Neurospora crassa OR74A: one gene and its partner. The protein of the gene in region 2 interacts with the protein of the main gene of each other region in a biochemical or structural test. Links are inferred from orthologs where the notes say so. Each region holds a gene or a part of one and is shown on either strand. Other genes may lie near its edges.

Region 1 (7,542 bases), on a different chromosome or scaffold from region 2:
CGAGGCGGATGGGGAGCAGGGAGAGGGTGAAGCGCGCCGAGGAGAGGAGGGCTTCGGCGGAGAGAGGGGGGCGGCCGTGTCTGGGAGAATGAAGCCATTGTTAGATCAACGCCTTGGATAAAGTGGAATTGGTTGTTTACTTGACAAGATCGGCCAGACTCAGCTGATGTAGAGGCTGGTTAGCCAGCCATGGGACTTTGTCCTCTAGCTCATGGCGACTGCTGAGCGGGCGGTCGTAATGGGGTCTCGCGATATTCTGGTTCAGGATGGAATACAGTCTCGGGTAGTTTGAGGAGCTCAAGGCGGCCTTGAGAGGGCTGGGAAACCTCGACGGCCTCGCGATGGATTTCATGTCGGCATGTTGTGCGGTCGCGGGTTTCTGTTACGAGACTGAATTTGGGACTACAACGTACTTCCAATTTTGGTGCAACAAGTACGTAGGTAGGGTCCGGTGGAGAGTGCCGTGTTGCTTCAGTTCGTTGTCATTCGGTGGTGTGTGTGTGTGTGTGTGTGTGTGTGTGTGCGCGCGGGACGGCGATCAGCGCCGCGATGGGATGACATAGGTAGCAGTCCACGCTGAAACAGGGTTATCGTGGTCCAATCGATATGCTAGGCGATAAGGGGCTGCCCACAGGCCGCTTGGAGTAGGTTGGAGCACCTTGAGGACTGGGCTGGGCTGAGGAGGGCTTCCACTTCCACTTAGGTGCTTGTGCTTTGGCTGTGCTTCCCGTTCTGTCTCCTCGGTGCTGTCGGGTCGGTTGCTCTCTCCTCCATCCAGCATGACGCATCCCCATTGCAAGTCTGGACTTCCTGGTTGAACACATCCCTAGGCACAGTCAGTGACACGATTCAAGTCAACATGTGCAAATTGGAAATCTTTCTTTGAATTCATAACAATCATCAAATGGCCGCCTTTATCTATTCCAGTGGAGAGTGTCACTGGAACGACAGCGAAACCGGCAGGTAAGCCCCGGGCCCCCTGTCGCTGTCAACACTATGTAGCTGAGACTAGGTAACCTCCGTCTCGCTGTTACCCCGCGATTGGTGCCCCGCATGAGATCCATCACCAGATCATGCTTCTCTCTCTGAGCAGGCGACTGTAGTCTCATCCTATACCTGTCCTTCCCGGGCTAATGTCATATCATTCCCAATGTCGTTGTCCTTGACGCCTAATGCTTCAAACATGCTGTTGAAATCGGATGCGCTCTTTTACTGGGTCCTGACCTCCTGGTCGGCCTCGACGCCCTTGACGTGCTCGTGGTTCTCAAGGGTGAAAACAGCGCCCTCGGGATAGATGGCCCTGCAGTTAAAAAGAGAGGGTCAGCTCTTGTGTCTAATTCTGAAGACGGAGGCTGTCATACTGGAAGGCCTTGATGAGGGTGTACTCGTGGCCAATCTTGCCGCCCTGCGCCTTGACGTCCTCCTTGGTCTTGGCGATCTCCTCATCGGTAGCGGTGTCCTTGAGGGTAACCTGACATAGTGAACAGCTGAGGTCAATAAGAGTCTTATGGGTAGTGTGAGGCGCGAGTGCGGCATGCTTACAATGTAAGAAGGCATCTTTGCGGTGGTGGGAGGGTTGTTTGGTGAAAAAGTTGGTGTTGCTGTATGGAAATGTTGAAACAGAGTGTAGTGGTTGGTCGTGAACTTGGAAAGTCGGTACTGCGTCTCGAGGAGCGGACGAAGGAGCATCTTATACGTGATCAAGGGACATGCACAAGTGGACTCGAACTACCTACACCACAGATGCACATGTGCCAGATAAGCGGCAATCATGCTAGATTGGTCTTCCTGCCACGCCGTCAGGAGCCACAAGTGACGCGGCACCAGGGACATTAGCATTCTCTGGAGCGGATGATACGTCATATCCACTTGGACCAGACTTGCTGCGCCTACCGCAGGTCGTTTTGTGACTTGTGACACTCTTTTGGCTGCCAGGCGTGGGGATGACAGAGACAATCCTTCATCTCAGCGCCCAACAAGACAGCCTTGCACACAACCACCTAACGAGCGCTTAGGCGCGGGCTGAGACACTAGGAGTGGTGTGGGAGGATGGATCCAGTCATCTTCCGACCATCTTGCTACTCAGGATCTTGGATGTTGTTACCTATCTGTTGTAACTCTGAGCCTAGCCTATACGCCATACCCTCCTCATGTGTGTAAATCGGAAACCCTCCTTCCCGCGACAATTACGTATGTAACCCTCAAAATGGTGTGTTATGCAAGAAGGGCTGCCATGGCCCATGGCTGTTTGACTTTGCGGGCCCATTCGACGTTCCTATGTCGAGGCCGCAAGTTATCAACTATGATAGCTCTTTCATGGTCTCGACTCTTCTTCAACCGTTTGTTGGGAGGTCCCTGAACAATCCAATGCATTTACATAGCGTGGTATGTAGTCTCCACCAGTGAGGGAGGGCTTGGTACAATAGAGGTAGTTAGGTTGGTCATGCTCAAGACAGCACAAGATATCTCAACCACCCAACGGAATATCTTCGTATAAACCTTTGGAAATAGTTACTCCGAAGACACAGCTCACCCAGTAGTTGGTTGAAGATAAGAAACGGGACTATACGTTGGGTTCGTCTGTTGTTCAAGGTTCCAAGACTTGAAGGTCGGGACTGCCTGTCAGGGTCTCCAACTCCCCGCATGCTGCCACTGCTTAGTAGCGGGTGCTGCCGGGGATAGGTCCCGTCGCCTGCCGCGGAAAGAGGTCCCACTATTCAGGTATCTTATCGCTTATCGATAAACGTCTTGGCGTTCCATCAGAAAACCGACTATCCAAAAAATTTGGACAGCAGCTTTTTGGCAGCAGTTGAATTGGGAGCGAGTCCCGTCGCATTTCCACTTGCACCTGTTTTCGCGACCGCGTGTCCATCTATACTACTGAACTTGCAAAAAGTTCACGGACACCAGCCGTAATCATGGCCGACGTCCAAGCCCACAAACCCCATCGGGCTTCCAAGAAGTCCAAGGAGAAGGGGGCCTCCAAGCATACAGGTGGTATGTGTATTCAATTGTTTCTTTTATCGTTACTATCCACAGCTGACCGTCCCTGCAGAAAAGAACCCCAAGGCCTTTGCCTTCTCCAATCCTGGTAAACTCGCCAGACAAGCCGCCAGATCCCACGATGTAAGAAGACATTCCCTCGCTCCATCCTTCAATGACTTCTTATAATTAACTGGTCTTGTTCCGCAGATCAAAGAGAAGCGTCTTCATGTCCCCGCCGTCGACCGTCTCCCCGATGAACCACCCCCAAGACTCGTCGCCATCGTAGGCCCCCCTGGCGTAGGAAAGACCACCCTTCTCAAGTCTTTCATCCGACGATATGCAAAGGAAACCATCCAAGATCCGGTGGGACCTATCACGGTCGTCACCTCCAAGAAGCAGAGATTGACCTTCATCGAATGCGCCAACGAACTCGAGGCCATGGTCGATATTGCAAAGGTCGCCGACATTGTCCTTCTCATGATCGATGGAAACTTCGGCTTCGAAATGGAGACTATGGAGTTCCTTAACGTTCTTGCCGCCACGGGTATGCCCGGCAACGTCTTTGGCATCCTCACCCATCTCGACCTGTTCAGGAAGCCCCAAGCACTAAAGGAGGCAAAGAAGAGGTTAAAGCACAGACTTTGGAGCGAACTCTACCAGGGTGCCCACCTTTTCTACCTTTCCGGTGTCCTGAACGGCCGTTACCCCGATCGCGAAATCCACAACCTCTCCCGCTTCTTGTCCGTCATGAAGAACCCCCGCCCGCTCGTTTGGCGCAACTCCCACCCTTACACCATCATCGACAACTACCGCGATGTCACCCACCCCACCCAGATTGAAGAAGACGAGAAATGCGACCGAACGATTGAACTCTCCGGTTACCTCCGTGGTACAAACTTTTCCGCCGAGGGCCAAAGGGTACATATTGCTGGTTTGGGCGACTTTACAATCAAAGAGATGGAACAATTGCCGGATCCTTGCCCGACTCCCGCTATGGAACAAGCGCTGGCCAAGGCCAGTGGCAAGACTGGCAGAAGGCGACTCGACGAGAAGGACAAAAAGCTCTGGGCGCCCATGGCGGACCGCAGCGGCTTGAAAATTACTGGCGATCACATCGTTATCACTAGGGAGAACGGCTTCACATTTGACAAGGATGCTGTGGGCATTGAGCGCGGCGAAGGAGAACAGCTCATCATCGACCTGCAGAACGAGAGGCGTCTCCTTGGTCAAACGGACGAGGGTGTCAAGCTGTTCGCGAGCGGACAAAAGATCAACCAGCTCCCTGTCGAGGACGAGGATGTCGGAAACACTGGCCGCAAGAGCCGAAGAACCGCCAGACTTGCCGATGGTGAGAGTGGTGAACCGCCAGAGGACGAAGGCTTCGAAAGCGGAGAGGAAGATGAGATGGAGGATGGATCCGATGTCGAGTCCGAGTTCAACGAGATGAAGCTGGGCAAGATGTTCAGGAAACAGACCGACGACGACCAAGAAGAGGACATCGCCTTTGCCGACAGTGACTCCGACCTTGGTTCGATATCCGGCGATGAAGACCAAGGATCCGACTTTGACGATGACGAGGACGACGAGGAGGATCCTGAGCTCAAGTGGAAGGACAACATAATGGAGCGCGCAAGTCAGATACACGGAAGGAGGAAACCCTTCCGCGCTGTCGACTTGGCGAGGTACATGTACGACGAGTCGATGGCCCCCACAGAAGCCATCAAGAAATGGGCCGGTCAAGACGACGAGGAGGAGATCGAAGAGAATATCGAAGAGGACGACGAAACCTTCTTCCGGAGGACTGGCAAGGAGGACAAGGAGGACTCTTGGGAGGATCGCATGATTCCCAAGTTCGACTACGAACAACTAGAAGCCAAGTGGTCTGACAAGGACGCTGTCGAGGCTCTCCGAAACAAGTTCGCCACCGCCAACCTACTTGACGACGCTGAGGGCGAGGGCGAAGATGGTTCGGATTTCGAGGGTCTTGATGACGAGGACGACGATGATGAAGGTGACGGTGCCTTTGAGGATCTCGAGACAGGGGAGAAGCACGGCGCTGACGACGAGGATGAAGAAGAAGAAGAGGAGGAAGGAGAGGAGCAGCCAGCAGAAAGCCTTGAAGCCGAGCGTGAGAAGAACGCCCGCCGAAAGGAGGAGCTCAAGCTTCGCTTCGAAGAGGAAGATCGTGAAGGTTTCAAGAACGACAAGGCGATTGCCAGGCGAGAAGGTGGCAATGATGACGAGTTTGGAGAGGACGACTGGTATGATGCTCAAAAGGCCATGATCCAGAAGCAGCTCGACATCAACAAGGCGGAATACGAGAACCTTGATGAAAGCCAAAGGATCGCTGTCGAAGGCTACAAGGCCGGCAAGTACGCCAGGATGGTCATCGAGGGTGTCCCAGCAGAGTTCGTCAAGAACTTTAAGCCACGGATGCCGATCGTTGTCGGAGGTCTTTCGGCCACGGAGGACAGATTCGGCTTTGTGCAAGTTAGAATCAAGAAGCACCGTTGGCACAAGAAGATTCTCAAGACGGGAGATCCCCTCATCTTCTCCCTCGGCTGGCGCCGATTCCAGTCTCTTCCCATCTACTCCATCTCTGATTCTCGGACGAGAAACAGGATGCTGAAGTATACTCCGGAGCACATGCACTGCTTCGGTACCTTCTACGGCCCCCTGTGTGCCCCCAATACGGGTTTCACATGTTTCCAGTCCTTCTCTTCCGCCAACCCCGGGTTCCGTATTGCGGCTACCGGTACAGTATTGAGCGTAGACGAGTCTACCGAGATCGTCAAGAAGCTCAAGCTGGTATGTTACCCTCCGCCCTATTGTGTATGGTGTTTTTGATGCTAACAACTCGTCCAGACCGGTACACCATACAAGATCTTCAAGAACACGGCCTTCATCAAGGACATGTTCAATTCGGCGCTGGAAATCGCCAAGTTCGAGGGTGCCTCCATCAAGACCGTCTCGGGTATCCGCGGTCAGATCAAGCGCGCACTCGCCAAGCCCGACGGCCACTTCCGTGCCACCTTTGAGGACAAGATCCTGCTCAGCGACATCGTCTTCTTGCGCGCGTGGTACCCCATCAAGCCGCACCGTTTCTACAACCCGGCCACCAACTTGGTCGGCTGGCAGAGCATGCGTCTCACGGGTGAGGTCCGCCGCGACCAGAACATCGCCACGCCGCTCGACAAGAACTCGCAGTACCGCAAGATCGAGCGCGAGACCCGTCGGTTCAACCCTCTCCGTGTGCCGCGTGCCCTCGCGGCCGAGCTGCCCTTCAAGTCGCAGATCATCCAGACCAAGAAGCAGAAAAAGGAGACGTACATGCAGAAGCGTGCGGTCGTCGTCCGCGGCGAGGAGAAGAAGGCGCGCGATCTCATGCAGAAACTCACAACGATCCGCAAGGAAGTGGTGGAGAAGCGCAAGGCCAAGAAGGCGGAGCAGCACGAGAAGTACAAGAAGAGCCTGGAAGAGGCCGAGGAGCGGATCAAGAGCAAGGAGAAGAGGGAGAAGAAGGCGTATTGGGAAAGGGAGGGTAAGAAGCGTGGTCCTAGCGGCGACCAGGGTGGTGGTGGTAAGAGGAGGAGGTAAATGTTGTTGTCGTCAAGGGGAAAATAATTGCTTGTTTGTTTCAGTCATCATTGTCATCATCATCACCTGGGTTCACTTTTGGGAGTACTATTACTACTGTATATAGAGAGGCATCCACATCCATCGATTCATACCCGGGAAAGAAATTGTTTCTTTTTTGCTAGCACGAGCGAAAAGCATTGGTTGAGATATTCGCTAGTTGGTTGGTGGGTGGGTGGGTGGTCCTAGAAGTACTTGTTCGTGTGTGGGTGTGTTTTAGGGGTTGCATTGTAGCACAAATTGTTAGTGCATACTTGCCACTTGCCTCTGTTGCGGATTGCTCGATTTGGTTCCACTGTTCACGACGACAACCTCATAGTTTTTCGTTTCACGGCAGCAACACTCCCTCGCCTTTTTCCCCAATCATCTATCTGCCCTATTCGAGCGTTCACTCAATTCTCAGTCACATTCTCGGGAACACACAGCACGATTTGCCCAACAACCAACACAATATGCTCACCTTGACCACTCGTCAATCCTTACATCACCACCTCCCTTCATCACTTCCCCGAGTCCTCCTCCTACCCATCATAGCCACCAAACGTCTCCTATCCTACACAGCCAAGACATCATCTCTGTCCTTGAAAGCAACTCCCATCACCACCCGCAAACTCCTTCTTTCTCCATCCCCAAACATCAACAACCTCCAGAAAAGATCTCTCCACCTAGCACCTCCCTTCCTCCTCGACGACTACACGCCCCGCTACCTCCAATTATCTGAAGTCGACGCGGCCAAGAAACGATCGCAAGCATATGCTCACCTGGCCAAGTGCAACTTGTGTCCAAGGAAGTGTGGGGTGAATAGATTTGAGAAGACAGGGTGGTGCTTGATTGGGGAGAAGGCGAAGGTGAATGTTATTGCGCCGCATTTTGGGGAAGGTGAGTTTTTTTTTTTGTTTTATTGTTGATTGGTATTCTTCT
Region 2 (7,531 bases):
GGGCGGGGGCCTGAGAGAACGAGAAGATAAAGACCGTCTCGGCAGGCCCGAGGAAATAGCATGTTTAGGCAATGATTGAAGTATAACACGACCCCTTGAGTCGGCTTTGATGTCGGATTATCGTTGTAAAAGTCAAGGCCGGAGACGAACTTAGCCAGGGATGAGGTTCTCGGGGATTATCACGCCTCCTGCAATCTTCTCGTCCGCGATCCCTTGTTCATATCGATCGAAGCAGGCTTCTGTCAGGTTTCTGGAAGACAAGCCCAGATGCATGGTGCGCGGCACGGCAAAAAGGGTGCCGGGTCTGTTTCCGCACGCAGGAGGCGAATGGTCCCGATCTTAGATGCGGCTCGTGTAGTGTAGGTATATAGAGACGAAAGGTGTCCAGTGAGCGAGGTCCAGAGTCCTCGGCAGAAGAAGGGCCATCCATGGCATCGTGGTATCCCAAGCATGGAGCTCGACATAGGTCCTACAGAAAAAGGTACCTACGTACAGTATGTAGGCATATCAACCTACCTACAAGCACCCTGCAGAAACGCCTTTTGCGTAGGTACCACACCGACAGTTGCAGCACACATGCCGTTCGGGCTCGAGGTGGTATCTGCATGACAAGCGCGATAGGTGCTAGGCTAAAGACACAGGCTCAGGTAGTTACCTACTTACTGTGAATGAAGCAGGTACATCCTCAATGACTGTCTTGAAAGATGAGTGGATCTAACAACAAGCCTTGTCGATGAGTATCTGGCTGAACGTGTGTTGCGAATGGTGACGATTCGCAAAACGAGGTATTGTATAAACTTGGCGCTCCATGGACTAGTAGGCTGTCGGGTTGTCTCTCTCTTGCTTAGCTACGGCTGCTGTAAAATATGCTCGTCTCCCTTTGCTCTTCGATAGAAGGGTGACAGAAAACGGCAAAGACTCGTATAGCGAGTTGCGCCTACGGCATTGTGCACCTCATGATGAGACCTGTCACCGCGTCCAGATTTCATCTGCCAACAAGGTTTTGGAGAAGGAGAGAAGGAGAAACCTCGTTTCACCGAGGAGACACACACAGACAAGCTTTGGATCGTGCTTATATGTTGGCTTACTTGTACGTGGAGGTTTTGTTCGTTTGTTGTGCAATCAAAGAATTCTGTATGGCTGGCTGGGTGCAGTGGTGGGTGCGTGGTCAACTTGCCCGCTAGAAAGCGTAAGACGAAGCCGATCTTGTTATGGAGGCTCTGGTGTTTTCAAAGTGCGAGGCGCTAACCATTTCTATCAAGTTCTCGTAGTATTGCCGTCCTCCGCAGCGTTCTCTCAAACAGTTTCGTCGGATACCTACCATTTAAGGCATGATTCGCCGTCAACCTTGCGGTATTCCAATCTCCTCAAGCTGAGGTGGTGTGTAGTTCAACGCATAAGCAGTAGCAGACAAGCTGTTAGCAAAGAGCGGCTTTGTGATCCAGCATGCATTGTCCAACGTCCGAGCGCAACAAGTTGACAAGAAGGCGACCACGGGGCCTCATAATGTGGTTGCCCAAACCAGAAAATCATCACCGTCTTGCTTGAGTTGCTGGCTTAACCTCTCACACGACTAGCCTGGATAGATCGCATCACGAAACCTGGCGCTATTCCCAATTACATGGAATAGGGATCTGGAGAGCGTGAGTGACTAGCCTGCCGTTCACATCTGGCGGCCAATCGGTAGCAAATGAGTGGCATTCACGACGAACTGTACGTAGCTATACGGCGAAGCAGGAGCCGGCGTTTGCTGGGCTGTCAAACCCATCCGCATACCACAGACCGTGTCCCACAATCTTGCGAAACACAAGGCTCACTGCAGAGTGCAGACACTACAGGGCCAGGCCAGGAGCGCTTGTCCAAGGACTGCTGAGTCTCGATATCGAAGGAAGTTGATCAACTCCTTAAGGACAACATTTCGCGCGCGGAAGGCCTGCTGCGGCCCCACAGGCCGGCCGGCCTTTGGTTTTCACAACGCTCATCGCTTCAAGCCGGTGCGCCCCAGTCGTCCCAGACATGACGCACTGGCCGGGCCACAGAGGCAAGAAAAACGAGTGGACGCCAAACGCCAGGGAATGGGACGCGGAAATCCAAGGACCAAGACGGGCGTTTCGACTCCGCCCGTTTGGCCATATCTACCCCACAAGCCCGGGGCATTTAATCACGGTTGCCGAGAAGCTGCCCCGTATCTGATACGTACCGAGGGGCTAAATCTTGGCTGATGAGCGTGATGGCGATGTGTCGATACGAAATGGTTTCCCGTTTTCAAAAAGTTCAATTATGCGAATACATAGCACGGTCCTATCGCGCCGAGCTTGAACACGCGAGGAGCATGAGCACCTCCCACCTCACTGTGCGCAGGAGGAGGGGTTGTCCCGGCCGTGATTGACGCGGGCAAGCAGAGATTGCGGCTGTGTTGTATGTAGATAGAGGTACTGTACTGACTGTCGAACAGAGACCACAGAACACCGCAGAGGTTGCACGCAGACTCGTTCTCCAAGATGCCAGGCCAGATCAGGATCGGAACCTGGAATGCCCTCGAGTTGACGTCTACATTGGAATCGAATCAAGCTGACGGCGTCAAGCAAGGTCCAGAGCGGGTGTTGGAAGCAACCTCGACGACATGATGCCAAAGTCAAGAGGAAACGAGGGGAAAAGGTTGAAGAGGTGGTGGCGCCCTGGTCCCTGTCAGTCTCCCGTGCAGAGTGTCCCCGCCATCGCCGTTCCGTTGCCGCCGGCGGTTGAACAAAAAAGTGGGCAGGTGAACTGATGGAACTTGAAGCCTCTCACAGGCGCCTTTTCGTGGTGTTGTAGTGGTAGCAGTGGCAGCAGTGGTCGAAAGTGGCTCTCTTCAACTGCAATGGCACTGCACCAGGCAGTCTAGGTAGTCCCACTCTCCCGTCCCCCACCCGTCCCCACCTGCCCTGTCTGGCAGAGGGGACGGGACTGAGATGTAGAACTAGAGGTAGGTAGTGTAGTGTAGTGTAGACTTCAGTTGCTTCCCAGAAGGCCGGACACACTCCCGCTGTCTGTCTAGAAGCCGAAAAGTGCATGTGCTGCCCTCTTGTTGTGCGGTGCAGTGTGCAGATGCAGCAAGCAACAGCCGCCCGACAGCAGTCACGAAGCATTCGAAGGGAATAGGTAGACCTAAGACCGACACAACCTCAATCATAGTATGCTTCCCTGAACTTTGCGTCCGGGCTTCCTTGTCTCCAATTCTCATTTGGCATCTGCAGGCCGAGTGTCCCCGCCCCGCCCGCCGTCCGACCGTCAGCAACACCGGACGACAGCCAGACAACTTCAGACGACAGCAGCAGTAGCAGCCCAGCAGTAGCAGCCCAGCAGTAGCAGGAGCAGCAGCAGCATCGCCGCGCATAGCCGACACCCGTCCGCCATCTTGGGTTCACTCATTTGAGCCCGGCCAACAATAAGTCGATAACGAGTTTGACGAGATTCGTAAAATTCGACAACCCACAAACTGTCAACGGCCACACATCGACACCGACTCGTACAAAGTTGGACCACCATTGGACACACCCTGCCCAAAGCAAGCAATCCCCCGCGCCGCCCAACCAGTCACCCACTTTATCCAAGTCATCCAATCCCTCTCCAGTCTGCGCACTTGTAGCACCAGCACCATACTGCTTGGACTATGCCCGACCTTGCCCTGCTCAATCATCAATTGGGTGCCGTCCACAAGCTAACGTCTGCTCACCACTCTCAAAAGGTAGCCGGACCCTGACCTTCTGATAAGCATACTAAAAAGCTTCGAGATCCATCAAAAATAAATCGTCATTCAAATAGTCTAGAGAAAACAAGCGGAAAAGTGAAAAGCGCCAGCCTAGTCCGAGTTCCCACACAGCAGTAACAACAGAAAGCATCACCCCTTCTTCAACGTACCCAGTCCCCGCCAAACCCAGCATCGCCGGCGGTCCGGGGTCTGTCTTTTTTTCCTACCTTGTACCTTCAACTTGTACACAATCCCACCACAAACCAAAGCGCAATTTTCGACCGGCATCAAGCTTCCAGGATCCCGTCCCCCTTCAATTGTCGACTTTTTTGCTCTTGTCCGTTCTGTGTCTGTGATTCTGGCCTGCCAACTTATCCCGCCCGCCTCAATAACTGCTGCCACCCCCCCAATTCCCGTCTCTTCTCCCAAGTCTCGCCTTCTTTTGGTTGACCCGGCCCCCAGCCAAACCGTCCGCCAGTACCGTACGTTGAACATCTTCCTTGTCTTTTCTTATTCTTAGTTACCCCATCTCGTAGCCCTCGTGCCCTTCCCTACGCTAGGGTTGGGTTTCTCTCGCAGTGACCATGGACGGCCAGCTCTCCCTCCTCTCGCCCACCTCGTCCTCCTCCACTTCGCATAGTCGCAAAAGACTCACAAAGAAGCAACGCCCGCCATCCGCAAATCACCGCACTAGCTCCTCTTTCAATGTCGAATCGCTCCGTATTGACGCCCAATCTCTAGACAGCAAACGGAGCGCCTCCAGCCTGCGCCAGGGCCCCAACTGCAACCAAAGCCCATCTCTGGCCAGGACCGTATCCGTCCCAGTCTCCGTCCCTTCAAACGCGCCCGCCCACACCAAAGCCAGCGACCTCTCTCTGCCACGCTCCCACACCACTCGCTCTCAATCCGCAAATCGCCCTTACAATCCGACGCAGACAATACCAACCAACCGCTTTATCCTCTCGCCGGCCTCATCGTCGCAACCCCAAACTCAATCGCCGCCTTATCCCAGCGCTGTTGCCAGCACCACCGTTACTAGCTCCAGGAACAAGGACACATCCAAGCAGTACGACCCACTAGACTCCTGCATTGGATCCTTCGATCAAAACAAATTATCCACGGATGAACTGATTGGCGCTCCATTCGACGGCAACGCCATTCTCAGTCGAATCGAGGCAACAAAATTATCAGCCGCGCCCGCGCCCACGTCCACGACCACGATTGCGCACTCCAACAACATTTCTCCTCGTCGTGTCGCTCCTCCTCCTCCTCCTCCCCCGCCTGCTCTATCGCGCTCAAACACGGACTCCAAGGCTGCGAGATCTTCAAAACCGTCAAAGTCGCCCAAATCCACCATATCAAACAAGACCATGGGCGCATCTTCATTCCGCCACTCGGCGAGTTTCTCGTCGGCTGAACAACTTCCGCCAAGCGAAAAGCCGTCCAAGTCAGAGAGCAGCTCTTCGAGTAACAAGAGACACTCCGGTGATGGTAAAGAGTCCAGGGTGCCCGGTATGCTAAGGAAGAAGTCGGGCTTCTCCGGCTTCATGAACAGCTTAGTTGGGTCTCCGAAAAAGCCATTGATTTCGGCGCCAGAGAACCCCGTTCACGTCACACACGTCGGATATGATAGCAATACTGGCCAGTTCACGGTATGTTGCCATGCCATGTCAACTAGTCTGAATGTTATGGATGGACTAATACGTTGATAGGGTTTGCCAAAAGAGTGGCAGCGTTTGATAAGCGAGAGTGGAATCACTGAGAAGGACAGAAGAGAACACCCACAAATACTGGTCGATGTCCTCACATTTTACAAGGAGACAACCGAGAAGCCACAGGAAGATCAACAGCTAGAGAAGTTCCACGATGCACGAGCGACAGATTTTCGCAGCCCGCCCGTGACCGGCACCGCTCCGCTCGTACTGCAAACAGGCGTTGGCTACGCTCATGGTCCCATGTCGCCAATGATTAGTCCACCCGCTAGTCCTAGGTTTCCTCAAGTTGGTCATGAGGGCAGCTTTGAGAACCCCCGTGCGCCGCCGCCGGTTCCCAAGGGCCCTGGCCCTCTTCCAGCAAAGGATATCAACTTGATCCCCAGCAGACCGGCACCGAAGCCACCAGCAATATCCACACGACCGCTGGTGCCGCCAGCCTCATTGCCAGCCAAGGATTCAGGAATTGGCATGCCACCGCCCGGTGATGAGGCTCCGATGCCGTACCTCCCTCCCAAGGATAATGTCCAGCATATGTACCAGGAGGAGCACAGGAACAGGTCCAGATCGAATTCCCGGACAAACGGCGCTGCCCCGTTCTCTCCCGTGCAGGCGTCCCCACTGCATCCGATCGCCACGGCGAACCAGACTGCGGCTTATCAGCAGCAATTGTTGCAACACCAGCAAGAACAGGCCATGGCCCAAGCCCAGGCAGCAATGAGCGGTCAACTGAGCCGAGCTGCAAGCAAGAGACAACAACCAACTCCGCCCACCTCACAACACCAACACCCCCGGCAGCCAGACATCAATGGGGCTCCTCGTATGCCACAGACTCAGGGGGCGGCTCCCCAAGCTAGCGCGAGACCCCGTCACAGACCGCGGCAAAGTAACGCGATTGATGTCGTGGCTTCCCTAAAGAGGATATGCTCCGACGGGGATCCGAGAGAGATTTATCGTGGGTTTACCAAAATTGGTCAGGGTGCCTCTGGTGGTGTGTATACTGGCCATGAAAGGGGAAGCAACAGGCTGGTGGCTATCAAGCAGATGAACCTTGAGCAACAGCCAAAGAAGGATCTCATCATCAATGAGATTTTGGTTATGAAGGAGAGCTCACACCCCAATATTGTCAACTTTATTGACAGTTACCTATGTGCTGGGGAATTGTGGGTAGTCATGGAATACATGGAGGGTGGTAGCTTGACGGATGTTGTCACGTTCAACATCATGACTGAAGGGCAGATCGCGTCAGTTTGCCGAGAAACCCTCAGAGGCCTTCAACATCTGCACTCCAAGGGCGTCATACACAGAGATATCAAGTCAGACAACATTCTCCTTAGCATGGAAGGCAATATCAAGCTCAGTAAGTTTTCCCCTTCGGGCTTTTTGGGCAGTCTCCGAAAGTTCAAACTTTTTGAGCATTTTCCTGTTCATTTTCCCACCATCTTCAACCCCCAACGCCCATCTGGTGCTGTGACCCGATTCTAACCCTTGTTCTTCCACCATAGCCGATTTTGGATTCTGTGCTACAATCAACGAAGCTCAAAGTAAGCGTACGACAATGGTCGGCACGCCTTATTGGATGGCGCCCGAGGTTGTGACACGTAAAGAGTACGGCCGCAAGGTGGATATCTGGTCATTGGGCATCATGGCCATCGAGATGATTGAAGGAGAGCCTCCCTACCTGACCGAGTCGCCTCTTCGAGCGCTTTGGCTCATTGCGACCAACGGCACGCCGCACATCAAGGATGAGCAGTCACTCTCACCAGTTTTCCGCGACTTCCTCTACTTTGCCCTCAAGGTGGACCCGGAGAAGAGGGCCAGCGCTCATGATCTACTAAGGGTAAGTCTTGGTTCGCCCCTGCATTTTGAATGGCCCTCTGTTTGCGGCTCTTCACCTGCTACGTTACGCTACCAGGCTCAAGGAGATGGTGATATTTCCGCCGGGCACCGAGCTAACTCTTGTAACAGCACGACTTCATGAACAAGTGCGTCGACCTATCAACACTGGCGCCCCTTGTCCGAGCAGCAAGGGAAGCCCGAGCCCAAGAGAAGGCCCGTAAAGGGCAGTAGTGTATGATTCTTCTAGGCG

The links.
Region 1: of the proteins of stk-4 (region 2) and NCU04348, one has a biochemical effect on the other in vitro, tested with the Saccharomyces cerevisiae proteins (2 studies listed by BioGRID). The link is inferred for Neurospora crassa OR74A from reciprocal best matches to the Saccharomyces cerevisiae genes STE20 and BMS1.

The regions. Positions count from the first base shown.
Region 1 is NC_026504.1:3,691,155-3,698,696, forward strand, and holds NCU04348 (ribosome biogenesis protein), read left to right. Parts: upstream 1-2,818; 5' UTR 2,819-2,918; coding exon 2,919-2,997; intron 2,998-3,055; coding exon 3,056-3,126; intron 3,127-3,192; coding exon 3,193-5,793; intron 5,794-5,850; coding exon 5,851-6,582; 3' UTR 6,583-6,771; downstream 6,772-7,542. Other genes in the region: stk-58 (mitochondrial pyruvate dehydrogenase kinase), read right to left, coding at 1-80, 141-352; NCU16822 (hypothetical protein), read right to left, coding at 1,210-1,300, 1,362-1,471, 1,543-1,689; NCU04347 (pyruvate formate lyase activating enzyme), read left to right, coding at 7,074-7,500. UniProt on the Saccharomyces cerevisiae protein: GTPase required for synthesis of 40S ribosomal subunits and for processing the 35S pre-rRNA at sites A0, A1, and A2.
Region 2 is NC_026506.1:2,077,603-2,085,133, reverse strand, and holds the start of stk-4 (serine/threonine-protein kinase ste-20, variant 1), read left to right. Parts: upstream 1-3,523; 5' UTR 3,524-3,547; intron 3,548-3,654; exon of another isoform or gene 3,655-3,731; 5' UTR 3,732-4,314; coding exon 4,315-5,382; intron 5,383-5,442; coding exon 5,443-6,802; intron 6,803-6,947; coding exon 6,948-7,282; intron 7,283-7,410; coding exon 7,411-7,512; 3' UTR 7,513-7,531. Other genes in the region: NCU03895 (hypothetical protein), read right to left, coding at 2,279-2,550, 2,920-2,959, 3,310-3,396. UniProt on the Saccharomyces cerevisiae protein: MAP4K component of the MAPK pathway required for the mating pheromone response, haploid invasive growth and diploid pseudohyphal development. Links the pheromone response G-protein beta gamma subunits to downstream signaling components.